4 linked regions of the Neodiprion lecontei genome follow. Each later gene encodes a partner of the first gene's protein in a complex. Links are inferred from orthologs where the notes say so. Each region holds a gene or a part of one and is shown on either strand. Other genes may lie near its edges.

What was found.
Region 2: GATOR complex protein WDR24 (region 1) and GATOR complex protein NPRL3 share a complex: the UniProt entries of both Drosophila melanogaster proteins name them as parts of the GATOR complex. The link is inferred for Neodiprion lecontei from reciprocal best matches to the Drosophila melanogaster genes Wdr24 and Nprl3.
Region 3: GATOR complex protein WDR24 (region 1) and GATOR complex protein NPRL2 share a complex: the UniProt entries of both Drosophila melanogaster proteins name them as parts of the GATOR complex. The link is inferred for Neodiprion lecontei from reciprocal best matches to the Drosophila melanogaster genes Wdr24 and Nprl2.
Region 4: GATOR complex protein WDR24 (region 1) and protein SEC13 homolog share a complex: the UniProt entries of both Drosophila melanogaster proteins name them as parts of the GATOR complex. The link is inferred for Neodiprion lecontei from reciprocal best matches to the Drosophila melanogaster genes Wdr24 and Sec13.

What each region holds. Positions count from the first base shown.
Region 1 is NC_060261.1:40,149,358-40,159,205, reverse strand, and holds GATOR complex protein WDR24, read right to left. Parts: upstream 8,199-9,848; 5' UTR 7,829-8,198; coding exon 7,732-7,828; intron 7,627-7,731; coding exon 7,510-7,626; intron 7,353-7,509; coding exon 7,130-7,352; intron 7,003-7,129; coding exon 6,789-7,002; intron 6,706-6,788; coding exon 6,457-6,705; intron 6,389-6,456; coding exon 6,228-6,388; intron 6,149-6,227; coding exon 5,965-6,148; intron 5,835-5,964; coding exon 5,681-5,834; intron 5,529-5,680; coding exon 5,405-5,528; intron 5,311-5,404; coding exon 4,806-5,310; intron 4,730-4,805; coding exon 4,568-4,729; intron 4,459-4,567; coding exon 4,330-4,458; 3' UTR 1,620-4,329; downstream 1-1,619. Other genes in the region: ras-related protein Ral-a, read left to right, coding at 277-393; prefoldin subunit 1, read left to right, coding at 8,461-8,841. UniProt on the Drosophila melanogaster protein: An essential component of the GATOR subcomplex GATOR2 which functions as an activator of the amino acid-sensing branch of the mTORC1 signaling pathway.
Region 2 is NC_060263.1:27,314,903-27,322,962, reverse strand, and holds GATOR complex protein NPRL3, read left to right. Parts: upstream 1-2,850; 5' UTR 2,851-3,129; coding exon 3,130-3,291; intron 3,292-3,929; coding exon 3,930-4,201; intron 4,202-4,371; coding exon 4,372-4,467; intron 4,468-4,553; coding exon 4,554-4,772; intron 4,773-4,951; coding exon 4,952-5,126; intron 5,127-5,334; coding exon 5,335-5,493; intron 5,494-5,765; coding exon 5,766-5,942; intron 5,943-6,024; coding exon 6,025-6,399; 3' UTR 6,400-6,595; downstream 6,596-8,060. Other genes in the region: vacuolar protein sorting-associated protein 13C, read right to left, coding at 1-17, 375-537, 612-738, 805-912, 1,023-1,163; UDP-N-acetylhexosamine pyrophosphorylase, read left to right, coding at 7,458-8,060. UniProt on the Drosophila melanogaster protein: An essential component of the GATOR subcomplex GATOR1 which functions as an inhibitor of the amino acid-sensing branch of the TORC1 signaling pathway.
Region 3 is NC_060264.1:241,941-248,969, reverse strand, and holds the start of GATOR complex protein NPRL2, read right to left. Parts: upstream 4,251-7,029; 5' UTR 4,126-4,250; intron 4,048-4,125; exon of another isoform or gene 3,204-4,047; coding exon of another isoform or gene 2,937-3,203; intron 2,825-2,936; coding exon of another isoform or gene 2,528-2,824; intron 2,407-2,527; coding exon of another isoform or gene 2,198-2,406; intron 2,100-2,197; coding exon of another isoform or gene 1,805-2,099; exon of another isoform or gene 1,425-1,804; intron 880-1,424; exon of another isoform or gene 586-879; coding exon of another isoform or gene 244-585; intron 132-243; coding exon of another isoform or gene 1-131. Other genes in the region: putative nuclease HARBI1, read right to left, coding at 1-131, 244-585; putative nuclease HARBI1, read right to left, coding at 1,805-2,099, 2,198-2,406, 2,528-2,824, 2,937-3,203; cytochrome c oxidase assembly protein COX19, read left to right, coding at 6,807-7,029. UniProt on the Drosophila melanogaster protein: An essential component of the GATOR subcomplex GATOR1 which functions as an inhibitor of the amino acid-sensing branch of the TORC1 signaling pathway.
Region 4 is NC_060266.1:1,254,107-1,260,162, reverse strand, and holds protein SEC13 homolog, read left to right. Parts: upstream 1-4,044; 5' UTR 4,045-4,198; coding exon 4,199-4,440; intron 4,441-4,531; coding exon 4,532-4,919; intron 4,920-5,204; coding exon 5,205-5,513; 3' UTR 5,514-5,556; downstream 5,557-6,056. Other genes in the region: rho GTPase-activating protein 21, read right to left, coding at 1-128; ribosomal protein S6 kinase delta-1, read left to right, coding at 742-903, 976-2,022, 2,117-2,250, 2,314-3,379, 3,440-3,535, 3,643-3,750. UniProt on the Drosophila melanogaster protein: Functions as a component of the nuclear pore complex (NPC) and the COPII coat. At the endoplasmic reticulum, SEC13 is involved in the biogenesis of COPII-coated vesicles.

The sequences.
Region 1 (9,848 bases):
GAATTTTGTGGCTTAATCATCTGCACTAAATAGATATGGACACGTTTGGTGGCATTTATATCAATGTAATCTAAATGTGTTCTACACGATTTGCAAACTTGAGAACTCTAGTATTCAAGTTTTCAGAAAGTTTTTTATTTGTGTTTTCATACAAAAGTCACAAACCAAATATCTACATCAATGAAACACTTCAGCAAAGTTATTGTTTAAATTGTATGACTGCATCTGCTTCATGCTTACAAGTCTTGAGACAGAGTATCTCTTGCGCATTTTCAGGTATTTTTCGACCTAATGCGCGAGATAAGGTCTCGCAAGATCGAAGATAAATCTGCAAGTAATGGCCGTGGAAAGGATCGTGCCAAGAGAAAGAAAAAGATGTGCATTATTCTATAGGTTGGCAATCTCCTCTCGCACTTTTATTCTCCTCATATGGTATTTTCATACTATAAACAGTGCATCAGTCTTCCCCTCTGCATAAACTTACCTACTCACAACTAAAATCTATTGGTACATGTATCGCAATCCAACTACAGCATACATGCTTATTTATTTTGGAAACGTTTTTTGAAACTTTCAAAAACTTACTATATAATATGATATAAAAGTTCAACATAATATTTCTGTAATGGTTCATACGCATAAAAATTTTGATGTTACCTTGTTGCGATGCCATATTGCTTACTTCCGTTTTTTTATTGAATTCAGCTCAACGTATCTTTCCATGTACTGATGCAAATGTAATAGTCTATTATTTAATGTCTGTAGCTGATTTGTAAATTTCTTTTACCTTTGTTAAATTTTTATTTAGTTTTGCTTAAAATTAATGTTCAAAAAGTACAGCTTTTGTAAATGGAATGCTTCTTAATGTTAGAAAGTTGAATTTAATAGCTGCTTAACTTTGATCCAAAGTGATAATATTATTTATTTACATGTGTCAAACTTTAATTCAAGCAACATAATTCTTAAATTTACCAACTTATCTGCCAGACAGAAATATCACCTGACTTTCAAATAATTCTTACCATTTAAATTACTTAAAACTTGTCTACACAATACCATTTTTGTTTGGTAGTTTATAAAATTGAAAGAATGATAATTCCAGGTATTCTTTGACCTAATGCGAGCAATAGCTGCACGCAAGGCTCAAGAAAATCAGGGTGAGGGGGGTGAACGGAAGAAGAAACCAAGTTGCTGCATATTACTTTAACATATTCAAAAACGATCATAATTTGAAATCATTGCTGCGTATCTCTTAGCGAGGTATAATAATATAAATAGCTCCTTTGTTCCATGGCATGAAGATATTTCACATTTCTTCAAAAAGGGATAATAATCATTTGGCCCTGACATCTGCTTATACCATTTCAAATGAATATTTGATGCAATTCGTGCAGCTGTAATTTTTACACTCATTAGTGGCTGTAATGTTTTCAACAATACATGATAAATGCCCAGTCGTAACAAACTAATTTAAATGTACACCTATATGTATATGCACAAGAAATGTGCAATGCTTGTGCCCTCTATTCTGATGAATTTGGTACAAAGTAATTTGCAATTATAGGAACCTCACACTATTTCCACTGCTCATATTTGAACATGCAAATATTTTTGCATCATTTTTGTACATGTGTAATACCTACTCGTCATTTGATTCCATTGCATCGTCATTATACTCGACTGGCAAGTTGCAAATTATGTCATTTGTATATCTAATGCAAGCATGCTTGTATATTATATAATTACCGTAATTTAATTTTAATTTTTCATTTCGTTACAAAAAAAAAAAAATTCAATAAAATTGATTTCCGTTCAAAGCTGACAAAATTTTTAATGGTGAATATAAACGTGTAGCAATAAGTATTGTGAATTTGTAGACGTACTTCAAAAATAGTTTTCCGTTTATTTTCGGAAAGAAAATGCATTTTCAATTAATTATTTGAACGCAAGTATAACGGAAATCTTGTAATCAATAAAGTGAACACAACATTAAAAGTATTATATTTTCCCAGTGACATAAGCTGTATAAATTCTTTTTACGTTAAATGCAATACATAAATAGCGTTGAAAATTATTTTCATACTTTTGTACTTTTCCAACCGGTAAATGTGCCTTTTCTTCAATATTCTAAATTAGTTGAATTGAATATCAGACTATCTCTATAATAACGTCAAGTTTTCTGATTAATAATATTAGCTCCCTGGTTTCGTAGTATGTGAACGATCTTATTTACTGTTAAATCGAGTTTTAGAGAACTAACTGGTCTAAAATTAACGATCTTTCCTAGTATAAGTTCTTGTACCTATAACACAATAACAGTGATTCAAAATTGTTGCTACACTTGGTAAATATAAATTTTGATTTCTTTTGTGCAATTAATTTGTTCTTACTGAAAATTCTAATAATGCGACAACTCATTTGTGTAAGTTTCAGCGTATCCGAATTCAATTACTGTACAGATACTGTTGATACGTATATAACAAAATTTTCAGATTTAAAAGTTATCAATTGGACATTGTACGATTGTTTTTTGTAATACTTAATACTTTATATCACACCTCAGTTTGCAATTTACTCACTCGATAAACGTCGTGAAAAATTGTAATATAATTTATAATTCTGTACCTTTAATATGAATACACGATTGAAAGAATCCTGTCATGGACTTTCAAAGCATATTACAATCATTGCAAGTCCTTCATCCATGATTTATCCACTATGTATTTTGAATTTCTTCAGAAATGACATATCACAACATAACAGATCAAATAAGAAGTTTCGTATGACTTTTATACATAAAAATATGAAGTAAGTACGGACATTATGTTTTGTACTTCATCTTCTCTTACTGCTTGGTTTTGCTACTAGCCTATTTGCTTTACATATTTACAGTAGTTGAAACTATGACAAAAGTATGTACATTATTCATATAAAACACAATAATTGCATATAAGGAAACAATCCTAATTTTGTATTTGTAATGCATGTGTTGGGTCCTCGAGACCTTAGATTCTTTTCCCACACTCTTTTAGTCACCTTATACCCTGCATCCTCTTCTTATCATCACCTCACTGTCTCACTTTGCATACCGCATCAGCAGAATGCCCCCTCTACTCCTGCACTGCAACTAGCCCAGTCCTTTGCATCCTTCACCCCATATACAGACTCTCAAGTCGTCATTCATTCGGATATCTTAAAAACCTCTCTTCCATTTTTTCTCCCTCACGTCTTCTTATTGCACTCTCAATATCTTTGACAATAAATCAATTATACACTCAAACATTCAACTCCTCAATGTAACTTCTTCTCATTTCCTCTAATTCTTCGTACGTGCGCCCAGTCGACGGGTTATGAACTCATACTAGGCCATAATAACATCGCAGCTGGGTGTCGATGCGGTCATCGATAACTGCTCATCGTGATCACTATCATCCACCCCATGACATATGAATAACTTTGGTCGGTCACTGACGAATTATTAGTAAACTTTAAAATTTAGCGATTTGAAAATCATGATTCTATTGACATTTCAATACACTCAGCACAACACTATATGTTACTGGTAGTATAAGATACATGGAAAGATTTTGTGAAGATTTTCAAAAAACATTTCATTTATAGGTACATCATTTCTCCATGCAGTCTCTTTTTCCATTGATAATAATCAAAAACGTGGGATTAACCATAGTCAAATATAAAGACCTATTCATTTGTACATTTTGTCTAATTTTTACTGTTAATATTGTTAATGATTTATAAAAATACTTGTCACGACTAACCGTGTCTATTCGACAAGTTGAAACATTGCATAATTGTGTAATGACCTCTGAAATATAATCAATTCTTAATGGGTTGAGTAGAAAAAAAAAGGAGCTGTGTGGTCTGTTGATACGTACTTAAAACTTACTCTTGGCACGAGGAAAGCGCAGGATATTGTATGTGTCTTCACTAGCAGCAGGGTTCTTACTTCAAATTACAATTATTGATTTACCAAACCATTACCTTGAGTGTGGTGAAATAAATCTTAAATTTCAGGGTAAAAAGTAAAAAGATGAGCATGTTTGCTGCATTTGGATCATAAATAACTGTGTAAATGTCGAATACTCGTTGTCAGTGACTAGAAGGTATCACTTTGATACGACATAACATTGTGCGATTCAAAGATAATTATGAGCGTGATCGGAGTTACTATGCTGTACTTGCCTCATAATAATTATCTTACTTATCGAAAAAGTTACATTAAATACTCCTTTCAGTAAGTAATTGCATCCCTAAATTAGGTACTGTAATACCTTCACTGGTAGCCAATAGAGAGCCGAAGTTTTGCAGTTAAGTAAACTCGCAAATGTGGCCACAGCCTGTTGGACATTGACGATTACTCTCGAACCATTCGTTCATATGAATTACATGTCCCCCGTGAGCACAACCTTGACACCATGCATACACACCGCGCACAACCTGAAAGGCCTTATTTGAATCATTTGGAACATTTGTTGCAGTTAAAACACTGCTTAATGTGAAGCAGCTATGTTATGACTGATAAAAATACAATACAAGTTACACTCACTTGATGACAAATCGAACAGAGAGCATGTCTTGAAGTATGACATCGATCACATAACCACGCTGACCTCTGAAGAGGCTTGGTACACGTTGTGCAGCATGCATGTATTGTTGTTGATTGCTGATTTAATTGAGACACAGACGGCATCCAGGCTAGCTGTATAATCTATGGATCAATATTGTTCAGTGTTTGTTCAACCACCTCATTGGCTCTCAAAATATTTTAATAACTTTTAACTTACCTGAGTAGCAATTTCCCATAATTTAAATCTACCTAGCATGTCGATATATTCGAGTAACCAATGCTCTTGAGTTGCTGCCTCGATGTTCAAACTTTTTCTTCGTTCTCCAAGAGCAATTAATATCGACGCTGATGTCTGAACATCCAAAATTGCTGCATGATGTCTCAACGCTTCTTCAATTAGCTGTGTTGGATCCCAAAATAATGGCTTGGGAACGGCAGTCACTATCAATTCACAAGGTTGATCCTCTACTGTGACTGATCCAGAATCATTGTCATTCATATCTGGAGAATGATTGGGAAATTGTTCAGGAGGTGGGGATCTATCCTGTATTTCGTGTCGCAAAGGAAATGCTTCTTTAGGTAATGTCCAATCATTTTCATGATTCATGAGATTGTGTATATAACCAGATGTGTAGTCCATTGTTATTGGTTCGAGTTCACCATCTCCAAAGAAGAAATCACCTTTTGGTTGACATTTGTGTCCAGCCAGGTATCGCCTGTGACTTTAAAAACAATTTGAATTGATAAGTTACACATTCTCAATAAAAAATTGCACAGATATTAATTTCATACTGAAAAGTTATATTTGCAAAGTACCTGGGAAGTATGGGGCCAATAAAATTTTGATTCTCAGTCATTTCATCAGTCTCAGTCTCATCGTCGCCACCACTAATCACACCAGGCGCTTCACCTTGCAGTGATTTGACATCATTTTCATGACCTGAATAGTGGTATTATTATTATTATTAAGCTAAACGCATAAGTAGGTTGAAAAAGCTCAACAACTTATTCCATGCATTAAGTTCTACATACATGTTTAAGAGATTTGCAGTATTTTACTTAATATGGTAATCACAGCAATGTTGGTCATACCTATATTTGTCTGATCAACTGTTGATCCAATGCCAATTTGTGCAAGGTTCAGAGTGTTGACAGTATCATCTTTCGAAACATTTGGCGACGATTTCAACATATTTCCAAGTGGATTTGCATACAGTGTTTTCGTTATACTCCATACTGTACTTATCTATAACAATTTTTTCTTTATGATCTATAGAATGGCGTTCAAATAATGTTTACTGCTTACTTGTAATGTTTTAACCCGTTTGTACCTAAGTATGAATGGTGGAAGGACATATTTGCTTATTTATACGCACATCATTTCTGCCTGCAGTAATGGCAACTGCTGCATTATGATCACAAATATCATTAAGTCTACCGCTGAGTAAGTATCCTTCAGCACATTCCCTAAACCACTTAGGTTCTCGTGGCGCAGTTTCCGTGAATCTGTGCATCATACTAGAGGCCATACAGAAGGTGTCATTACTCGCTGGAGATTTCCTATGAACAATGAAATAATGTAGTAAAATTATTAAAAATGCCGTCTAATTGCGGCAATTAGCACAAGCACAAGAAATACCTCATGATGCTAGTTAACTGTTTAACAGTAGTTGGTGCGTTCACACTGATTTTGCAAGCATATGCCACATCACCCTTGCAGTTGAGTGCAATACCTTGAGGATTTGCTTTGCTTGCCGGTCTAGTTGCATCTTTAAACACGTGATGATATAATGTACAATCCTAGGAAACAAAACTTGTGAATTTTCGGTCTGGAACATTTTATTCATTTTGGCACTGGAAATACGTACCCTGCTTGTTGATAAAAAGTACTGAGGATCTCCTCTCCAGGCAACACCAGTTGGAACATCTTTATGCTCGTTAAAACTAGCAAACGGTATATAAGGCCTTCTAATATCCCATACATTAATGCTGCAGTCTACGACCAAGGCGCAGCTTGCGATGTGATACTTTCTTTGAGGTCGCCATTTTATTCTACCCACAGATGCAATTGTATGGATTGTATATTCACATGTGGGTTTAGCTGATATGTCCCAAACCTGAAGTATACAAATTTTAATCTCTGTTCTTCTATATAAGTACTAAAAAAATCCCTGTAGTATATTCCCATAACCATCTATACCTTAATTGTTTTATCACGTGAGGCAGTAGCTAGCCACGAGGCTTCAGGGTGCCAATCACAAGCAAAAATTGGCCCACTGTGTGCTGTGAAATGCTGGAAGCATCGGTCGGGTTTCCTCAAGTCCCATTGCTGAACATGACCATTTTCCGAAACAGCTGCAAATGTGTATTGTTGATGCGGTGAAAACTGCACATCTCGCACAGATTCTGTGTTGCTATAAGAGTGAACAAATCAATGAATTTACAAGTAAATGAACAAGACACAGATTGACTCTTAACTTCACTGGAGTATAAACCTTTGCAAGAGCAATTTGGATAGTATTTCCATATGGCTCGCTATACCTGTAAAATGTTTTAGTAGCCTCCTTAATTCTGAGATCAAAACATTTCATAGTTCCGTCTTGAGAGCCTGATATTAACCACATAGGCTCAGTCATGTGAAAGCTCACTTTATTCACAGTTCTTTTATGATCAATAAACACGTGTTCCTGCTTTGACCGAGAAGGTCGATTCAGGTTCCATACCACCACAGCACCATTGGTGGCTGCGGTTGCCAATATGTGATCTAAAAAAGACATTTAATCATTCTTTTATAGCATGAATTATGAGGTGTATGCCAATCCAGGATTTTAATTAGAAAATAATACCGATAATTAAGGAAACAGAGGATTTTCCAAACCAAGTATTGCTGCATCACTAAAAATATTTCGTATATTATTTACCATCGATTAAATTCCAAGCAACATCATTGCATGAAAAATTCAGATTAAGATTCTTCCCAACTCTCAGATTGCAGACTTCTTCAAACTTGTCTTCAAGTAGGGCGAATATTTTGAAGACTAAGGGAGAAAATCGATAATAAATCTTTAATAAACCAGTAAATTGTATTGAAAATTAATAAAACAGCTTAGTCGTATGGAAGGATTTGAAAAAGGTTGTCCTACCATTGCGTCCAGCGATCACAACTTGAGTATTATCCTTATTTAGGGCTAAGGCATTTGCCGGTCCCTCCTGCGTAACGAATACCGTTTTTGATGTCATGTTAACAACAGTGAGCTCCAAATTTTATCAACAATTGTCTCGATTTCTTCACGCGGTATCCCCTAATTCAGGTTGGACTATACAACTATTATCAAACGTCAGGGTAATACCGCATTCTGTGAATTACACATTTTACAAACACGTGGTACGCCTGCTAGAAGTAAGATCACGAATTGTTTGATTGATTGTTTTCATACAATGAAATACGCACATCATTCGTCATTGTGACACACAGTATTTATGCGACAATATAAACGTTATAACCATATAGAAGTGATTTATGAATTCTTTCTCCCCGATCTTTATGATTTTACGACGAGCACATTCGCAGTAATTACAGTAGTGTCATTAAACTAAAAATGATTTTTGGCGAGTATAGTGTAATGCATCCTCATTGGTACAATTGACGGGTGGTAAAATGTTTATTTATTATTATTGTTCTTCAGAGAGTGTTTTTTAAAAAAATGGCCGTGTCATCAACGCCCCGTGATCGTAGCATCTATATATGTATTTCGAAGCCGTGATTACAGCATTTGTATAGTCGATCCTGGGTTTTCGTTCTTTGCGGTGTGCACTTTTCAGCGATTCTTGACATAACGTGGAGTTAGTAATTCGCAAGTAAAAACGAAAAAATGGCAAAAGCGCAAGACCAGGAGCTGAAAAAAGCGTTTTCCGAACTACAACAGAAGATAATTGATACGACACAGAAATTAAAGCTCGCAGACGTACAAATTGATTCGTTAAAACGAACAAAGCAGCATGCCGAGCTCACGGTTAAGGAGGTAACCTCACTTCCACCAAACACGAAAACCTACGAGAGTGTGGGTCGAATGTTCTTGCTAGACGACATCGCGAGCGTAAAAGAAGGGCTTGAGAAACGGATGAAAACGGCCGACGAGAAGATCAAAACTCTAGAAAACAATAAAGCGTTCTTGGAGCGTAGCTTAAAGGATAACGCAAATAACGTTAGAGAAATGGTCCAGCAACGACAAAGCAACGAATCCTCTGGTTGATACAGCAGTTTCACATCTTTACTTGCTTTTACTCTTCTGTCGAAGTTGTACCCTTATTCAAGCAATATCGCATCTATCAGTTGTAACTCTAATTTAACATCATTATTATTTGTGTGCTTTCGATAAATGTAATCCATAAAATAAACCTATCATGTTTACATATTACCTTCATTCGTTTTACCTTACGTAGTTACTGGTTATTTAATAATGTAGGGACGTTACTTATTTGTCCTGGTGACAGTTACTGTTGTGCATATCCTTTGTAAGAATGAGTAAGTCACCTCTATGGTGCAATAATTGCTTATCCTATTTAGCCAGACTTCATCTCTCAAATTATACAAATTTAAAATTTCCGAACTTTTTCCTAGTGACCACATGTGAGAATGATCATTAAAATGTTCTTATAATTAATAAGACATGGGGTATAATTGATTTCAGCAAATCATTTTACAATTATCATTAATTTATTCCAGCGACAGGAATGTTACATACAACAGACTGTCTTCCTTACGGCTAATTTTTTTTTTTGTTTTTTCCTTTTTAAATTTAATCCACTTAGTTATCTTAAACTGATTCCGTGAACCTCAACATTTTTTCTTCATTTAAACTACACTTAAAAATCTACATGTGCCAAAACTTGGCGCTTCAACTGATTTATTGTATTTAAAAAAGAAATAATGTTATGAAACGTTTGTTTTTTCTTTCATTCTCCTTTTTTCCTCCTCAGAGTAAAAAAGATTGGAATTTTATAGATTGGCAATTTTTTAAAAATTTTCTCTAGTGTTAATCACTCTTCGTTTGTATGCAGTTATTCGTTAATTTCGTAATATTATATCACATATCATACTGGAATAACACAGGGAACAAGATTGGCCTTGCAATTGCTCACAATTATTTGTATTGCTGTTGAGTATTTCTAAATGGATACGAATTTGATGAAAATACAATAACAAAGCAATTAGTTAAAAATGATTAATTCACTCCAATCTGCAGATTTATTTCGAACT
Region 2 (8,060 bases), on another chromosome or scaffold:
CACCTGGTTTCCATTTACTGCAAATCGTGCCAAATTTAGGAATTGAATTCATACAAAAAAGGCAGTTGTGAAAACTTACAGTGAACATCTAATACAAAATAATAAGTAAAAGCAACGTTAGCATACGAATACACAGCCACGAGCCTGAAATATATATTCATTACAGAGAGAAAAGTTCACTTTGTTAGCTAGAAAAATAAATAATATTGTTCGATGCATAAAAATTCCTATCTTCATCAGTGGTTGTTTTTGAAGCAAAGTAAGTTTTGCACTTGAAAACACAAAGCAGAATTGGTTGGTGAAATTTTTCCAGGTCTAAAGATTAAATTACATGCATAAACAAACGTGGTGTGATTGTTTAGTTATATTATTACTTGTTAGTGGTAGTCACTGATAGACTCTGAATGCATAGGCCACAGGCAACGGGTATTGTTTGTGTAAAACTGTCCTCATATCTGACGTGGACATTATTGATGGTGATTTGAAAATTGTTAATAACAGATGTCACCAAGCTGTCGAGCAGACTAGAAGTTATTCCTAAGAAAAATGCAAATTTCTTTTATGAGGAAATTCTGATCTAAAGTTATCATTAGCTAATGGCAGTGTTATACCGTATCCAAGAAAGTAATCCTCATCTAGGTCCTCTAATATTTTTTTCTTCGCTGCCCTGATCAGACGCTTTTCAATTTCAGGATCATATACATCTCCTAAGGCAGGAACTGCTATTATATATATATCCTGAAATAATTTTCCAGTTGTGAGTACATTTCGGAAAGTCATCATGAAGGTAGATGTATATCATACCTCAATGCTGACAATAACTGGCTGTGAAGTAAGACCAGTCCAAGGTATCTTCAGACTAATTTTTCCAATTAATCCGATTTTTATTTTTATTGGAAGCCCAAGTTGATACTAAAATTAAAAATTTGCGAGTCTTTAACGAAGTAATAGCTAAACAGATATGTTTGTTAAAATATTCACAAGAATATTTTATTGAAGTATAAATATCTGTCTCTACGTACAAGGGCTTCTGTTTTCAGCTTCAAATCTGTAAGGTATGCATCACCAGAAAATATGCCTACATTGAAATTTTCGGTATCTAGATCTTCGACATAATTTCCTAGAAAACGGTTCAGAAGTGCTGCAACTGCTCCTTCAAACATGTTGAAAATTCGTTTCAATATATGGTCCCGTTAATCTAAAATAGAAATCGTTTTCTACTTTGAATCTGTAAACTCTAGGGCTCTAGAATACCTTAGCAAAATGCATGTACGATATCAAACTTGAATGCTTTACCATTTCAACACTTTTACTATCCACCATAATGTGTTATAGGTTTATGAACACTTTGCAAATCATTACCAACATTCATGTTTATGTTCAGAATGTTTAAAAATAAAGTCACTCTTTAAGTAACCTACTTTTATTACAGCAAAGGTCATTTCTTAAAGATGGTATTTTGAAACTGAATTTAATGTTGATAATGCATGAACAATTGGGACAATTATTCTGAAATCTATTATACAAAGTTTTCTTCTCTCACATTCCAATGCCGGTCATAGATTTCTAACAATCGTCTTGCACATTTCCAAGAATTGAGTCAACTTATTAAATTGGTAAGCAGGCATAGAAGTAATGAATATTTTTAGATTTTTCATAATGGTTCTTGCAAATAACGATGTTGAACGAACTGTAAGGCGTAATAGAGTTATTAATATATTGAGCAGTGTCGTGTAACATATAAAATGAAAAAGTCTGATACGAAATATTGATCTACTTTTATTTTAGTTATAATGTCGTGCAAAAATTCATGTGACTTCGTTTTTCCATCTTGTACCATACTTTTAGTTGTTTTTTGAAACACAATTAGGAACCGAATAATTTCAACAACTTATAAATATTAAAAACAAAAAACGAACACTTTTAATTGGTATAATAACAATAAAAATATTAGATCTATTGATTTGAAAATGAATGATAACATTACTTTATTGTAATTTACTGTAATCATCGGTATAGGGTGGATTTTTGCGAAGGTATAAAATTTTGCAATTTTCGTTCTGCGTCGTCAGTTACTAAGAATACTTAATCATGAATATCTTAGAAGAATTGAAAGTTTATGACACCAGCTTCTAAACATAGTATGCTATACTAATTGTTGGATAATATGTCTAAAACATGATACAAGATAGATAGTGATGAGTTGACATAGAAGTCTTGAATTACAGAATGATGGTTTCTCATTTACAATTATTATTCAAATGTTGAAGAAGAGGATTGATAAAGTATTGAATGTAAGATGAGTAATCGCAGTGTCAGCATATCAGATTCGCATATGTATTATTCAAACTTACGAATTATCTGAATTCTTCTCCAGTTAATATTCGCAAAGTGTTAGCAGAAACAGAAAGCATCTGATACCTTGCTTCAGTAAGCTGTCAAATGCTGTCAAAGCAGACCGTTTCATTGGTTGATACGATTTGCGAATCGAATTGCGGATATAATTATTTGATTTCATTTTCTAAGTTCTGAACGACCGAACGCAGGCCACTGTGCATTTATCCAATTGCCCGATGCAGTAATTTTCACCTACCTGCGTGAATTAAACTAGAAATAAAGTAATTCTTCCCAGCCCCAGGCCATAACCTAACAAATTTCACACCTCGTCCAGGATGGTTTGAAAGATGTAAAGCGCAGCGGACCTCGGGAATTGTTACTTGAAGTATTGATTTTATTTTCATCCTTGTCTGCGATATAGAAAGTGCGTCGTTAAACAGCGCGTGGAAGGCATGACAGCTCGTTGTATTAGAGTTAAAGTTAGGTTAGGGTTAGGGTTATGTTAGGTAAGTATTATTGGGTTGGTAACAGTCTCTCGTCAATCCGAGGTTTGACATAATGACAGAAAATTTGGATCGTTAGTTTTTATTTGTCGAATTCAAATTCAAGAAACCTTGCAAGTGGTCTATACGCGTTTTTGCCATGTAACCCGATTCCTGATTTAAGTTATGATTTTAAGATAATACCAAGAGTCTGTAACCAATCTCTCATAACTTCTCTGGCATCTCGGAGCATTGGTTAGTTGGATTGAGCTTTTTGAGTTCACTCATAAGCTCATCGAGAAACAAGGAAATGGAGATTAATCCATTAAGCGTTATTCTAGTGAAGAGTGACAGTAAGGGCGATCGAATGTTATTCAGATATCCTCACGCCGCTAATCTTGAGAGAGATTCCAAACAGTTTACAAAGAGGAAGAATCCTTATGCGTTAACAATCAGTGAGGATTTATTACAAGTATATTCCTCATATTTATTCTTTAATATTACTGCACTGGAAAATCCCAAACTATCGCAAACAAGTCTTATACCAATATCATCTTTGATAAGACCACGACTCTGTTGCTTTATTTTCATGTAAATTATAATCAATTTTCATACAGTATGTTTCATACGATATGTCTACAATGTAAGAGGAGTTATACAAAACTATAAAGATTTTATTTGGTCATTGTCCCTTATTTACCTCCTATTAATTCAAGTATTACTATATTTTTATTTCTATCTTTTTTTTCTCACTTTTCTTACTTTTTGATGAAAATTCTTCCATACTGTACTCTTGTTTAAACACCAATGCCCCTTCTTTACTGTATTAAGCAGTGCTTACTCAAATGTATGTTCGCATGCTCTTTAATTGCCTTGATTTTTACCTTAACTTTACCATTTTTATTTGTTGAGTGAGCAAGTGGAATTCTTATTTCGTTTCACATTACTTTGATCGCATTACATATGATGTTGCAAAAATATTTAACAATTGATCAATTTTTTATGAAGCTGTAAATTTGGTAGGAGTAATTAACAAAATGACCGTAATCAATGTGGAGTATAATTATTATCTGGCGCATGTTTATTTTTCATTATTTAAATAATTTTCAGTCGACACCATTTCCAACATCCAATATAAGCAATGGCAATCTTACTGGCTTATCTGACGAAGTTTTGTCCACCCTCTTTGCTGTTAAACCCGAGCTTTGTGAATTAAAGTTCGAACTAAAAGTCAACAATGTACGCTTTGTTGGACACCCTACATTGCTTCCTTCTAGGGGACTAAAAGATGTCAATTCATCCATGCTCTTCAACATAGTATTCGCTTTGCAGGCTCAAGCGAATCACTCTGTTGTTAAGTGTTATTACGATCTCAGTAAAAGGTAACTTTGAGGATAAATTATTTGTATCTTCAAACATCTACTGAAACCTACAATTACCTTAGTGACTTATCAATTCGATTTTGAACATGATTCATCACCAGTAGTTAATAGCTTATATATTTCTTTTATTTTAAAAAACCATCATATTTTTTGGATGTTCCATTATACAGACTGGGAATAGCTTTGAGACATGAGGAAAAGAGATGCGGATTTCTTACTGACGAAATAAAAGTGATGGTTTCCACTCATGACGAAGTAGCTGCTCGGTAATTTTCTACTTCCACTTTTTATAAATTGTCATACTCTTAGATGTAATTTGTACACGGATGTTATAATTGAATATACGATCCAGATCAGAAGAGGAAAGTGAATCTGATGAATCCCCTTATGAACTTATATTGCAAAGAAGTTCTCTTGCTCGAGATTTGAAGTCCGTTTTCAATAGCCTGAGTACATCAGGGGTAATAAATATCATGGTTAATAAATGGATACAAGTTAGCTTTTGTCTACCTCAAAAAGTTCATCAATCTCACAAAAAAGGATTCATTATGAACCCAGAAATAATTGACAGGTAATTCATTATGATCATCATCATTTAATTCTCTGCAAATAATTTGTAAATAATTTTCAGCAATGAATGATTGTGAATTATTATCATATTACGATAAATTATGATAACTAAATTCTGTGACATCGCAGTACTACTAATAATCAAATCATTCGCGTTTTAAATGAAATTATTTACTTCAGATGCCTCGAAAGTTTACGACCGTATCATGGCTTACTACTTTTGATAGAGCCTTTAGATTTGTTAGATTCGCTTCCTGCTGACTCGGCTCCAGCGCTAGTACGTCTTATACAAATGTACAGCCCACTCAAAAGTCTTCAAACATTAGCTGCAGATTCAGATCTCAGCTTGGCACAGGTGAGCCATAATGATAATTTTGATTGAAAATACTTCTGCCTTTTTTCAAAAATATTTCTCAATAATACTGTATCAATTACTGAAACAATTGAATGAATATTGAGGATTAGGTGCATATTCAATGGGATTTCTTTTTCACTACATTCAGGGTTTGATAATGTTTACATAGTAGTTTTTTTAATTACTAACAAGTATCACCTTTGCCAAGGTATTCCAACTGACTGGACATTTAGTGTATTGGGCAAAGGCTACTATTATCTATCCCTTGTGTGAAAGCAACGTATATGTCGTAGCTCCAGATGCTGTCCTCACAGCTCAATTATTGGATGCATTTTCAGAACAATTTCCAGGATTGTGTCTACTACAGGTATTGTCACAGAATACATTACAAACATGTAATGGTAATGCAAAAAAAAAGTATTTACGGTAGAGGATTCCGAAGTTTCTAAAAATCTTATTGAGATATCCTTTCGCATCTCCATTATTAAGACGAGTTAGATTTAACGAAAAGAAACAGATTCTGCATGTAAGCGATAAAACATTGACCTTTGCTTCTTAAACTAGCTTTTGGACACGTATAATTTTCTGTTATTTACTCTGTCATACATAACAAACTTGAATATTTCTGTTTGTTCATAGGTGATCAGTGATTTTTCTTTACCGACATCCATTAGTCAAAAATTGAACCCTCTGAGCCAACCACAACAACAGACTCAATTAGTGAAAATAATAATTTGGTTATTGAGAAATCATTTGTTACTTCAGCTGCATACTTACATTCAATATATGCCAACGCTGCATGGTTGCCAAAAAGTGGTAATATATGAACTTTGAAAAAGTGATAAACACCTGAATCACTTGCGAAATAAAGAGATGAGTATTCGATTCTATCTTGCAGACAAGCATAACAGAAGATGATTCTGGGCCAAACGAGTCTATGAAAAATCAACACAGCTGGGAAGGCACTGACGCATCTGCCGGTACACCAGGAGAAAGCGATACCGGGGCTTCTCCTGCCTTACGTGGGACAAGTGGAATTTTTGAGTATCAATCAGATGGTTTCTCAATTCCTTCGGAGGATATGATTTTACTAGATAAATTATGTAGACTTGGGTATCTAAAAGGCGGTCATCATCTCGAGGAAATTATGTATCTTGAAAATATTCGAAGATCGCAATTGTTACAAATATTGGACAAATTCAGAGACGTTCTCATAACTTGTGAAACAGAGGATCCTGCAATTGCACTTTTCTATTCTCATTTCGATTGCTAATCAAATTTTGGTCATTGTTAATCGAGATGAAAAATGCGGAGGTTTATTATACCTTGCAGAGACTGGCTGGTAATGTTGTATCTTCCGTAAAAAAATTCATATTTATTTTGACACATTTATGCCGTATGCGTTTTACCTTCAGTTTGAACAGGTACAATGCTAAGAGTGTTTTAATATAAGTGCTACTTTCAAATTATACGTGTTAATTACTATTTAAAATACCTCACGATTTAACGCACGACATAAAGTTACTTTATTATTAACTTTGAAGTTCAGTTCCATCTCATATCATATCTCATTTTACGTCAAACGCTTTAGACTTCAAGTAACGTAAACGGAAGATAACGATATCAAAATAACGGTAGGAATTTAGTTGTAACAATGCACCACTGACCGAATAATTGAGCACGAATGTTCAATTCCAACGTGCCAAATGCTTTCACTGCTAAATCGAAGTAGCAGTTCTTACAGTCACATTTTTTTTTTTTTTTTTTCTATCTTCACTGAGAATCAATCCAAATGGCGAAATTTTATAAAGATAATTACAATATTAATATGGACAGTGCGCAGGTTTTGAGGAATGTTTCGCGCCAGAATTCATAATCTTGTGCCGCTGATCTGCAGTAGTGACGTCATTTACCCAAAGATATGCCGGGTCTCATTGCCTGCCACGCGCACAACTCCCGCAGGTAAGATAACCTGTCGGTGTTTCGACATCCCTTTCATTTCTCCGATATGGAAAGAGGGGTCTAATTGTGAATGTAAATAAGCAGAGAACATTATTTCGAAAGCACCTTGGTCCAATCAAATGTTAACTACCTATCACATGGGAGGTGGGCGCAGGCGGGTTTGGGTAGGGTTAAGTCGGCGTATTGTGCATGTTGAAATGTCAGCTATTCAAACGCCTGTCACTCGTATCATTTGTCACACGTAGACTTTCACCTAATGTAATATTTGAGACTTTTACCGGCCCAGGTTGTCTATAATTAACGAATGAATATTGAAAACAATACCCAGCTGTGTGCAGTTAAGTAAATCAAGGCATAAAATCAATCGCGATGGCAACGGACGTTGAAAAATTATTATATAAATTACGGGAGTTTAATCAAGACCATCTGTTACAATTTTGGGATGAAATTAGTGACGATCAAAAATTACTACTCATTCGGGATATCGAGGAACAAAATCTGAAAGAGATTTCATCCTATTTTAAAAGTGCCGTTGCATCTTTGAGCAACGATCAAGTAAAATTAGATGCCAAACTACGCCCGATACCCAGCGAAGTGAGTGCCTCACTGCAGAATTCTACATTTGCGGAAACTCAAAAATATCACGATTTGGGTCTCAGAGAAATAGCTGATGGACGTACCGCTGTACTCTTGATGGCAGGAGGACAAGGAACCCGCCTGGGTGTGAGTTATCCTAAGGGAATGTTCAACGTCGGTCTGCCATCTGGTAAGAGTTTGTTTCAATTACAAGCGGAGCGGATACGTCGGCTAGAAAATTTGGCTGAGGAAAGACATAAGAAAAAAGGTTCGATAACTTGGTACATACTGACCAGCGAGGCAACAACCAAAACCACCAGAGATTACTTCAAAGCAAACAATTATTTCGGCCTGAAAGAAGACAATGTCCTTATGTTTGAGCAGGGTATGCTGCCG
Region 3 (7,029 bases), on another chromosome or scaffold:
GCGATCATAGCAGCTTCCGTACTAGGAAATTTGATAATTGCGTGAATCAATGATGCAATTTGAGCCGATACTCTGTGTATTATCCTCGATACTGTAGACTGCGATATAGTCATCAGATCTCCGTTGACGAGCTGTACAGTACAAAATGTATTAGCAATCATTTATTCCATGATCACAGGAAGCAATGAAATCACTTTATATTTTCAGTAGAATGTCAGGAATTATAATCACAATGATCCTTACTTGAAAGCTAGCGGTAGCGTAAAATCGTAGACATATTAATAATTGCATGACAGGTGGAATTGGTAGACCACGATTATTGGCACTGACTAAGGCAGCTTCAATTCTAGGTAGTATTCCGTACATAATACCATCCTTTGAAAATCGGAATCGCCGTTTGAACTCCTGCTCGGAATAAAACTCGAACGGGTTTTGACCATCTCTGATGTATCTCTTCGGAGCTCGCTGTACTTCACCCTCGTCTTCGTCATTCGGCCCAACGTTGACCATTGCAACCACCTCAATCATATTATTCATTTCTTCGATCTGATCGTAGAAATTAAACATATCTTGCATATTCGCCATGTCAATAGAATTTCACTATTCACTTCACTTCACAAATTTTTCAAAGCGAATGCTCTCATAACCTCTATTTCAATTGCAAGTTTCCGTTGCTACCCTTTTACAGTAAATAATCCCGTCCCAGCTGCACTTTCCCAAACATTCCTTCACAATCTATTCCTGTTAATTTATATTGTTCGAATATAATATTTTCCAAACAATTCGTAATTATCAATTTCGTACGCATCAGAACAATCGAGTAATATTTAGGCAACAAGCATTTGCTTAAGTGCAGTCCGAACTCGACTTGACCAAGGCCCGTATTCATAGTCAGGTCTCAAGGCGGTGCTTAAGACCGTCTTGGTGAAGATCGTCTTATTCGTTCAAGACCGTCTTGAGATGCTATGTATTCATAGTCGGAAAACAAGACGGTCTTCGTCAAGAATTTGGTCTCAAGCGCTAGCTTATTTCATTCAAGACCGTCTTGACGAAGACTGAGCTTGAGACGGTCTTATTCGACGTTCGGTTATGTTCGGAATATTTCCGATGTATCCCCCAATAAGATGCTCGGATTTTATTTCTCAGCCTGTGCAAGATATTCGTATAGGCATGCAGCTCTTGAGTATTTTTATAGTTTATGAACACAACAACGTTAGCGCCACGTAGAGGAACTAAAAAACGGGAACAAATCGCATACAATTTTTTGTAGTGGGTGTATAGCTATAAAACGAAGAAGAAGAAAAAGAATTTTATAGTGTATGTTTATGTGTATATAATTTTTATATACACATATTTTAACCTATATCATTATGTAAATCTCTATACCGGTTACTGATAAATAAATTGTATTGATATGTTAAAAGGAATCCCGGTGCAGACTTGCAAAAAAATGCGCGTGAAAGGGACAACCTTTGATCTTCAAAGTTCAAAAGAGCAACTTTAGTTCTATTTACTGGCTGTATTTATAATGTACTGAATATTTTTACGTAGACAAATTTTCATAAGTATTATCGTAACTATAAGACTGACGCTTAGTACAATTACGTACATATCAGTATTTTCATGAGTAAGTGAGGGGTTTAAAAATAAAATGAGAACCAATGATAAGTTATGAGTAAAATATGTATTCTAATGTTAACTGTTTGTACAGATTAAATTCAATTTTATTAAATATTTGGAGTATATTCATTCTAAAATCAATTAGTCTTTACAATTAAATTAACTTGATATACATATATTTTGATTAAATGAATAACCGTTCGATTAGAGCTTCGCGTATTGCAAAACCCTCTCCAGGCTGCCAATGCGGTGCTTGAAGTGGCAATTCATCCGCTTCTTCTTCCTCGATGCGATTATCTTCCGGAAGAGCATTATCCAATGTTAGTGATAAATTGTGTAGTACGGCACAAGCTACAACAATTGTGGTAGAGCACAACAATTTGGTTCCCAAACCTCGGGATAGGCAAGGAAAACGTCGCTTCCAAACTCCAAATGTTCTTTCAACAATTTGCCTTGTTCTGCTTTGTACGTTGTTATACCTATCAAGATACCGACTTGGTTAATTCACACATGTATACTTTGTCAATTTTATGACTACTTATCGAAATCTAAAGTAATGCGATAATCTTTATCTTACCTTTGTTGAGCATCTGTAATTGGATTTGCCAGTGGAGTCAGCAGAAATGGCAAGCACGGATAGCCGGCATCTCCAACCAGGGTTCCAGTAAGTTGTCTCTCATGATACCGCATGTAAATTCGTGAATTTTGGAATATTTGACTGTCATGGTTACTTCCAGGCCATTCCGGAACCACATCCAAGAATTCCATATTGGGTCCGACAACTGCCTGTGGTATCATTTAAATTAAAAGTACCGATTTTCATAGAATAGTATTGTTTATTTGTATCCTAGATAAAATTAATTGCAACTTATGGTATTTGTAAACGGTTATCACCAACGCGACATACCTGTACATTGAGGGAAAAATATCCCTTACGATTCCTATAAACCTCCTGCAGGTCTGCAAATTTCGTATGACATAATCGAATGTGAGTGCAGTCGATAGCGCCATCAACGCCAGGTAAACCGATACCCTCCCTGCGTGCACCAAGTTGTCTGAATAGATCTCTGTTTGCGATCATAGCAGCTTCCGTACTAGGAAATTTGATAATTGCGTGAATCAATGATGCAATTTGAGCCGATACTCTGTGTATTATCCTCGATACTGTAGACTGCGATATAGTCATCAGATCTCCGTTGACGAGCTGTACAGTACAAAATGTATTAGCAATCATTTATTCCATGATCACAGGAAGCAATGAAATCACTTTATATTTTCAGTAGAATATCAGGAATTATAATCACAATGATCCTTACTTGAAAGCTAGCGGTAGCGTAAAATCGTAGACATATTAATAATTGCATGACAGGTGGAATTGGTAGACCACGATTATTGGCACTGACTAAGGCAGCTTCAATTCTAGGTAGTATTCCGTACATAATACCATCCTTTGAAAATCGGAATCGCCGTTTGAACTCCTGCTCGGAATAAAACTCGAACGGGTTTTGACCATCTCTGATGTATCTCTTCGGAGCTCGCTGTACTTCACCCTCGTCTTCGTCATTCGGCCCAACGTTGACCATTGAACAATCATATTATTCATTTCTTCGATCTGATCGTAGAAATTAAACATATCTTGCATATTCGCCATGTCAGTAGAATTTCACTATTCACTTCACTTCACAAATTTTTCAAAGCGAATGCTCTCATAACCTCTACTTCAATTGCAAGTTTCCGTTGCTACCCTTTTACAGTAAATAATCCCGTCCCAGCTGCACTTTCCCAAACATTCCTTCACAATCTATTCCTGTTAATTTATATTGTTCGAATATAATATTTTCCAAACAATTCGTAATTATCAATTTCGTACGCATCAGAACAATTGAGTAATATTTAGGCAACAAGCATTTGCTTAAGTGCAGTCCGAACTCGACTTGATCAAGATACGTAAATAAGACTGCGTTAATTGACTATGAAACGTTGCGTGCTCAAGACCATGCTTATTTCAAATAAGACTGGACTATGCAACCTTGTAAGCACGCTTCGAATAAGACCGACTTGATGAAGACCGTCTTATTTGCCGCGTCTCAAGACCGTCTTGTTTGACGTCTATGGAACCAAACGCCATCTTAAGGCCTCGTATAAGACCGTCTTATTCGAGTCCGGTCTTAAGCACTGACTATGAATACCGGCCCAAGATACGTAAATAAGACTGCGTTAATTGACTATGAAACGTTGCGTGCTCAAGACCATGCTTATTTCAAATAAGACTGGACTATGCAACCTTGTAAGCACGCTTCAAATAAGACCGACTTGATGAAGACCGTCTTATTTGCCGCGTCTCAAGACCGTCTTGTTTGACGTCTATGGAACCAAACGCCATCTTAAGGCCTCGTATAAGACCGTCTTATTCGAGTCCGGTCTTAAGCACTGACTATGAATACCGGCCTAAGTTAATGAGCGCTTGCCTTTTACGTCAATTTTCTGACAAAACACGACACTGACTAATTTCATTGGCCTATTCTGCTAGATCCGACTGACGACAGCACCGAGTGCGTTCCGATATTTAGATCCATGTGCTTGTTGTAACGGTGGTTTTACCACGTGCATTCCGTGTGTGACGAACACACCTACTTTGGTTCCTCCCCACTACCGCCTCTAGAGGCAAAGTTCGGTAGTCATCGACGAATAGCGTGTAATACTCATAGATGGTGATACTTGACACGAGAAATAGCGAATGCAGAGAGTTGTGTCAACCCAGTGTAACGTCCGACCGGAACGTCCGTATGTTTTATCGACTATTATTACTGCATGTTACTTTTATCAACTAACCAAACTCGAAGTACGAGAATCTTGTAACCATAAGAAATTAAAACAACTGTCTAACTATTTGGAATATCCCTAGATGGAAATAACTATGAAATTCACTAGCCAAGGCTTAAAAACCATGTTACGAGATCTTCGTACCACAGAGAACTATAATACTATTATACGTTATTATATATCACTATCATATTAACACTATAATTAACTAACACAATTATACCCAATTATTATATAGCACTCAACAATGCCATTTGTGCATTCGGAGCTGAGAGCTATACTTAAGCAACATACGCTTTACTATATAGCCTGGAGTATAGAAGACTGTAAAACCATAGATAAATGCATAACCAATATAATGTAAAGATAGCACTGCTGCAATAACCCATAAAACCAGAGACTGCAAAACCATCAAACCGTGAATGCTAATTACCCAGCATGAACTATACCTTCTTTCGCAACGCCGTATTGTAGGCAACACGCGCAACGTTTTGAAGGCAATGCAGATCTCCAATGTGGAGCCAACAGAGCTTCACCTAGAGAATACATTAGGAAACTTACCGACGAAACGAAAACGTTCTAGAAGCTTCCAAGCCGATTTATATCAATATAAGAATTAACAACTACAGAAGGGAATCATATACAAAAGCACACATGTAAACCTGCTCTAAAGCTATGAATCATCAAATTACTAAGTACCCTAAATCTGTTAAGATAGTTATAACACAAACAACTAAAGATATTCGCAGCAGCGTGATTCTAATAATGCTAAACAAATAACAAACTATGTTCATAAACAATTGCTATTGTACTCCAGATTAACAACGACAGTAGTCGACTTTAATACATATGCAATTCTATATAGATACAACTATAAAACTAACAACGACAGTAGTCGACTATAATACATATACAATTCTATATAGATATAACTATAAAACTAACAAACGACAGGTAACCAAAATGAAATATGGGCTTTGTAACGAGCAAGATAGCAAAAACATTCAGAGGTAGACAGGTAGTTAAGTGGCTGACGGGCGCCACAAAGGGGCTGGCGCCACAAAGGGGGCTGGCGCCACAAAGGGGGCTGGCGCCACAAAGGGGGCTGGCGCCTCAACGAAAAGCTCACGCAGTTCAGAGAACTACGGAACAAAGTCCACGCACCTACACCACCGCACCAAGCAGCGATATACCATACGTAAAAACCTACAATATAGTAATAGCTAAAGAACTAAGATCACAGGCGTGCATGCGGCGAAGATGTCGTGCCCTAATTAGAATTCCTAGAAAAGAGGGGAGGTGCGCAAAGGCGACCAAAAAACTAGAGAGGGGGATCGTTCTGCGCAACGATCGACCCCTATAAAAACGGCGACCGATCACTCGATCGCTCTCTTGTGTTTCTACCTCCAGATTCGTCATCTAGTTCCGGTACAGTCTCGCGGTAAAATCCTTTAGCCTTTTGCATTAAAACTTTCATACAACGTTACTCTGCCCAAAAGTTCAGCGAGCTTCAACTCCATTTTTACTAAGTCTAAGATCTTACACTGTGTAACTCTGCGTTTGTGACTTTTAAATATCAAACTTATAAAATAAACCAAGTTAGTCAAAATATCCAAATATTAAAGTCAGTTATTCCACTAAGACCTCTCACCAATCTACAAGTCATCGCATCCAGAATACTCTCAAAAAGGTAAGCCAAATTAAATCTTTTATCCAACAATTTCTCCCTCTTCGGTTCGTTCGACTAGAGCGACAGAATGCCCGTTGTCCGGTGTATTTCAATACTTAATCGGTAATTGGTGACCCAAACTACTGATGTGAGTCTGGCTGTAGCTGCGTGTGAATGTTTCCGGTGTCTAACATCTGGAGATTTCCACTAGGTACCGTTCCGACGTCACACCAGGTCCCTGACACACAGCACTGCTCGTATACTAAAAAATTGTACGCGTTTTGTCCCCGTTTGTTAGTTCCTCTACGTGGCGCTAAAAGACTTCTGACAGCTTGTCAGACAACTACTAGCGCCAATAGTGGTGGAGATTGGCGGCAGAATCGAGTGACATTTTGTGAACCACTTTTAGCAGCGTGTGTCAGTGGTGTCAGGGGACTGCGTCAACCATTCGTTGCACGGCGTGTGCGTGCGTTGAAGCACGTGTAAAATAGAGCAGATAGCTAGTGTGTGAGTTTTGTGGAGCTTGGATTGCCTTGGATTGACCACCGTTACGTATGTACGCAGTCGGAGGTGATTTGCTCATTTTCTTTTATACCAACATTTAATACAGAGGTTAAGGTCTGCTCAATGGTAGTGATAAGGACGAGGAGTTAAGAGTCGATGTTTCGCGTAATAACAATCGTGTAAAGACGTGATGTCGTCGTTTACATTCGGTCAAAAAATATTCACCCCAACGCCGCCCGAGAAGGGTAGCTTTCCATTGGATCACGAAGGCAAATGCAAGCGGGTTATGGTTGACTACATGCGTTGCCTCAGAGACAACAAGGGTAACAACACAATCTGCAGAGACGTCGCTAGAGATTACCTTGGCTGTAGAATGGACAACAATCTTATGGCTAAAGAGGAATGGTCAAAGC
Region 4 (6,056 bases), on another chromosome or scaffold:
GAGTCCGGCTTCGCTGAAGAAGACGCCGCCGCCTGTTTCTTGATCCGGCGTTTAACCCCCAAATTCCGAAGATCGTTTGACAGTATCTGGTAAACCTTCTCCTTGTCCAACACGTCGTAAACAAACATATTTACCGTCTGGGCGAGGATCGGATAGCGCCAGATCCTCCAAACGGGTGTTCTTTATTCATAAAACTCAACTTCAATTTGACAATATAAAGTATAACAACTTGTTTGTAACAACGCGATTTGAATTATCGAAGTTTATTGTTGCCGGTTACGTATACGCATGTATATGATGTTTATCATTGTTTTCCAACCGCCTTGCCTCATGGTCGCTATGCAGTTCGTTGCGGAACGCAAAAAACTCGTTGCGTTCTGTAGAGGGGATAAATCTACTGATCGCTGCTGCGGGTGCGTTCCGAAACTAACCCTAGTGCTGTGAACCATCTTTTATTTCTTTTGCGTTGCCGAGTTCATGGGTAAACACTCAGTGGATAATTCCTGCGACCAGATGGCGTGCGGGTAATTTAGAGAGTTTCTGTTCAAAATTCTATAGAGTATGCATATGTATATGCATATACACGTGGGAAATACCACCAAACCACCACACTTAATCGATACATTTTTGACACCTTCGTTCATAACAGAAAAAGACTTGGACTCGCGTAATTTAAGACTGGTTTAGTGTTGGGTTAACACAGAGAGAAAAGCACGAGCCGTGCTCGAATGAAATGTTCGCATGAACAAAGAAGCCCTGGTCAATAATTGGGTGCTATACGATTCAAAGTCTAATAACAGTAAATGGCACCATCTAAGGAAAAATGGGTACGAAGGTTCCTTATCAATGAGACTTCGCGTCACAGGAAAGGATTTACCGTGTACAAAGTTACATCAGTGGTCGGTACATATACTATTATTAATTTTAAGTCTACTCGAACAACAGTCTCTCCTTTAGCTGCTCGTCTACTTTCAGATATATCCTAAATCAGCCCCAGAGGCTGTGTCCAGAGTTTCGGTTTGGAAGCGATACAGCGACTTTAGGAAGTTGTACCTGGAGCTGAGCAGCCGTCATGACACTTTGAGGATCAAAGAGGCCTTCCCACCTTTCCCAAAGCCCAAGTTCTTTGGCCGTTTTGAGGCGGAAGTTATTGAGGAGCGACGACAATGTGCAATCAGACTTCTGGAGTTTGTAGCAAGGCACACTCCACTTTTTACAAGCAATGTAGTTGTCAAGTTCTTCGAGTCTGGACATGCCAGAGACTATCTAACCGACTGCTCGGCATCCATCGGCTCCGATACCTCTGAAGAGGACCCAAACTTGAACTCCGCTCTCAGAGGCACCAGCTACGTTCCAACCACTGTGCAGAATACTCAGTTTCCGACTTCAAATGGCAGAACGATCATACTAGCCAACAATGATATTGAGACGAGTGATAATGTTTCCCAGAGCTTATCTGTGAACAATAACTGCATTGACGAAATTGGCGTGGTCAGTGAGAATGGCGTCAACATAAGTGGGACAAAGCCAATCAATAATAAGAATGACGAAGAAAAACTTGAGAGGCAATCGCCAACCTGTGACAGGTATGATGCCCCTAAATTCACAGCTTCGCTTCAAGCTTCGAATGGCTTTTCAGTCCATGATGGATCTGACTTACCTGAGGGTGCCGCTGAAGACTTGAGCAGTTATATTCTAGTATCAGCTACCCACATGAGCGCAGCTTTCAGACACGAGGCTGTGTGTGAATACGAGGAAGCATTCACGCTGTATAAATTGGGCATAGCAAACCTACTCAATGGTGTTCAATCTGACCCTGATTACGGGCGCAGAGCCACGATCAGAGACAAGATATCCAAGTATTTGGAGAAGGCAGAGAGGCTTTACAACAGGCATCTGAACTGCAACGTAGGCATGCTTTCCAAGCCTACTAGTGAATTGGGAAATTATAAAGTATTACGTGTTATAGGCTCGGTCATGCTGGTCAGAGACACTTTGCGTGATTGCAATAGAGTTATAAAGGTAAAGCTCTCTGTGTTATTCGTCATTTTGAAAAATAAATAAGAACTAGCTTTGATCTGGGCAGCGATGTTTCAATTAGTAATTCTCTTTCCAGACAGTCCAAAAGCCAGCTGGGTGCCTTGGGAGTCTCCGCGATTACATTCTGCGTGGCAAAATCCCATTCATGGTACGGCTTTACGCATGCATAGAAACGGATTCGACGATATTTCTTGTCCTGCACTATGCGAGGTGAGTGGAAACTGGATATGACTTTGCTGATTTTGATGATGCGACTCAGCTCTTACATTTCAGTGGAGGAAAGCTCTGGGAGTATATCAAGTCGTACTACAAGGGCCGCAACACAGTCTCTAATTGGAGAGAGAAAGGGCATACAAGGTCAGTGAGTTGCGACGCTATTATTCAGTCGAGTCTGGAAAAGAAGAAGCTAGGAGTTAAGGAAAGACTGTTACCGAAAATTGACGGACTTGCTGAGGTTTCGAAAGACAGAGCTTGTGGCAGCAGAGAAAATCTCGATCCGCAAGAAGAGGAGACGATCGATCCTGATGAATCGCTCAGAAGATTAGAGGCAAAATTTGGAGCCAATGCTGCGCCTGTTAAAACATTTCAAACCACGGACTTACTCGCTAAAGCCCAAGAACTTCTGCGATTGGTTGACGCCACTCTGAAGAAAAGCAATTCAATAGCCAGCAGGTTGAATGAATCTGGCACTTTACTGTACAGTGAAGATAAGCCGGATCATTCTCGAAATTTAGCTCACGGTGGGGAGTTTCAGGCCCTAAATGTAACAGAAATCGATAAACTCAGTCAAGGTAACAGCATAGATGGTGTTCACGGTATTGGATCTGGAAATATAGATCTGAAAGCAAAAAATGAAAGATCAGACGAAGCTTTGGCAAATTCTAAGTCTAATTTTGTTAAGAACTTCAAAGTTGAGGACGAGTTAGTGAAAGAATCGTCAAAACTCAATGGCTCTCATAGAGTGATTGAGGAAACTATGAATTCTGGCCAATTGCAATCGATCGTTAACGAGGACAGCGGTATTGAAATGGATGACGAACTCTGGAAGCTTCCCGAAGGAACCATCCGATATTGGGCAGCTGAAATACTCCTGGCACTGGAATCTCTGCACCAGCAGGGTGTCATAGTCGGAAATTTAAAACCAGATAATATATTATTAGGCAGCGGAGGCCATGTCGCGATGACTTACATTGTCCCAAAACGAAGCTTCGAACTCTTGCAGCTAAAGAAGCCCTACTCCGCCCCTGAACTTTGTATCTTCTCACCAACAATTCCACCCTCCACTGCTGCCGATGTTTGGAGCTACGGAGTCCTGCTCTACGAGCTCTTCACTGGAATTGTATGTCCAATTATCATAGTTTAAATTGATATTCGTTGAGTTTATGTTTTCTGTTTTCAGAAATTCCAAACTAAACATCCTGGACCATATCACTCGCATTCTATTCTCAACATTCCTGAAGAACTATCAGCGAACGTGAAATCATTGATCTCTAATGTGAGTTTGAAGAGTTTAAATACTTAATTAGTTCTCAAAATAAATGAAGCAGTGCATTCAAGTCAATGAATTCCTTTGTATATGATTGTCTTACTCTCCTTGTTCAGGTATTGCGATACAAGCCAGAGGAACGTTTATCTATTCCCGAAATCAAAGAGTCTTCATTCTTCTCTGGTATTGATTGGACCGCCTGGGCTAACTCTAGTTTTACTTAGTCGTAATATACCTATTTTTTTCCTTCTACAGTACGCCATATCATGTATTTGTCAATCTCCAGTCAGTGTATAACTAGTTCAAAAATAACGAACAAAATAATATTTATCACAATCGACATAATTAAAAGTATATAATATGTATTCTACTTCAAATTTTGAACCATCCCGCCGATAGATAAAATAACATAACAAATGGAAAGGCACGTGGGGCACGTGTTGTCTTTTTACGAAAAATCCCTAGCACTTCGTGGTGACTCTGATGCTTTTCGTTGCCTGATGTTGGTGCCTTTTAGCGCGTGTCCACTTCATCAGATTCCACGTATGTCAGTTGGATCAGTTGTGTGGTTATTCTTCAATCGCTGCAACGGACAATTTGCGACAACAAAAAATAGTGAAAGAAACAATATAAATAATAACTCGTTGCGGGTAAACGAAGAGATAATTGAAAATGGTCTCCGTTCTAAACACGGTGGACACGGGCCACGAGGACATGATACACGATGCCGAAATGGACTATTACGGATTGAGGTTAGCTACCTGCTCAAGTGACAATTCGGTGAAAATATTCGATCTGAAGAACGGCACGCAAACCCTCGCTGCAGATTTGAAAGGCCACGTCGGTCCTGTTTGGCAAGTTGCCTGGGCTCATCCGAAGTTCGGCAACATCTTGGCATCTTGCAGTTACGACAGGTAAATTTGGTGATCTCAATACTTTTGCTCCACGGTTTTCCGACCTTATGCAAAAATAAGCAAAATCTAAACTGTACTTATCTCGCGTTAGGAAAGTCATAATTTGGAAGGAGCTTGGTGAGTGGACCAAGATATATGAACATGCGTCCCACGACTCGTCTGTGAACTCCGTTGCATGGGCGCCGCACGAGTTCGGACTAATATTAGCATGCGGCAGCTCTGACGGCTCGATCTCCATACTTTCTAACAATGGTGACACCTGGGATGCCCAGAAAATTCCAAACGCACACACCATCGGGTGCAATGCGGTCAGTTGGTGCCCAGCCATTGAACCTGGATACGACGCTACCGCGCCTCACCCTCGCAGTGGACCTGTTAAGCGACTTGCGACTGGAGGATGCGATAATTTGGTCAAAATATGGAGGGAGGATAACGAAAGATGGATCGAGGAAAATAAACTCGAGGCTCACAGCGACTGGGTAAGTAATAACTCGTTTCAAGTATCACCAAATTTGGACATCTGGTCTCTTCCCTTTGTCTAGGGCAAGAAAAGAATTTTCATTACTTTTTCTATTCCCAGTGAAACATTTGTGTCCAGAGGCTAATCACCTATTCGCAATCGTGATCGATTTGAAATCATGTAAGATCAATAGAAAAGAGTTGAATTCATATCAGAAATTATTCAGCATTAGCAAAACAAAGATGCTGTAGATAAAATTAGTGGATTCACCAGCCATTTTCTTTTCCTTGCAACATTAAATTAGGTCAGAGATGTGGCCTGGGCGCCAGCAGTTGGACCACCGAGAGCGGCACTGGCTTCCTGTTCTCAGGATCGCAGGGTGGTGGTGTGGACGTCGACAGATTGCACAAGTTGGACGTCGACTGTCCTGAACGTGTTTGAGGACGTTATATGGAACGTCAGTTGGTCTCTGACTGGTGGGATTCTGGCAGTGAGCGGAGGTGACAACAAAGTATCTCTGTGGCGTGAAAATTCCGAAGGCCAATGGGCATGCATTTCGGAGCTCAATAAGGGTCAGGGAAATTTGAACAATCCAGAACAACGAGCATTGTGAAATTAGCATAATAGAACTGAAGAGAAAAATCAGATTATCATTATTATTGTGTATAAAACGTATTTTCCTCTTCCTCTCTTTTTCTTTCGCTTTTTGTGCAAAGGGGAAAAAAAAAAAAAAAAAAAAACGAAACTTGACTTTATAACTACAAACTGTACTATAGGCGGTGAACTTTTTTAAAAAGTTTATTAAATTTTTTTTTCAATCGATTCTTCCAATAATTTAATAAATCCTTGATTTACACTCGTAAAACGCAGATGCAAATCGAACATTAGTTTGCGATTTCTCTGCAATTTTGGCGGACACCCAATATTTAATTTATAACTTGCAGTAAACAGACAATCGATATTTACAAATTTGACAGAAATCGATCGTTTTTCAAAATGTAAAAACAACCACAAATAAAAAAAACATTTGTACACAGGTGCGAGCAGCAAAAGCAATACGAACAAAGACGTGTCGCACATTGGGGGGAAAAAAAGATAAAGAAACGGGCAATATGTGTCTGCTGCCGATTGGAGATTGTAGAAAATTGTGAAAAAA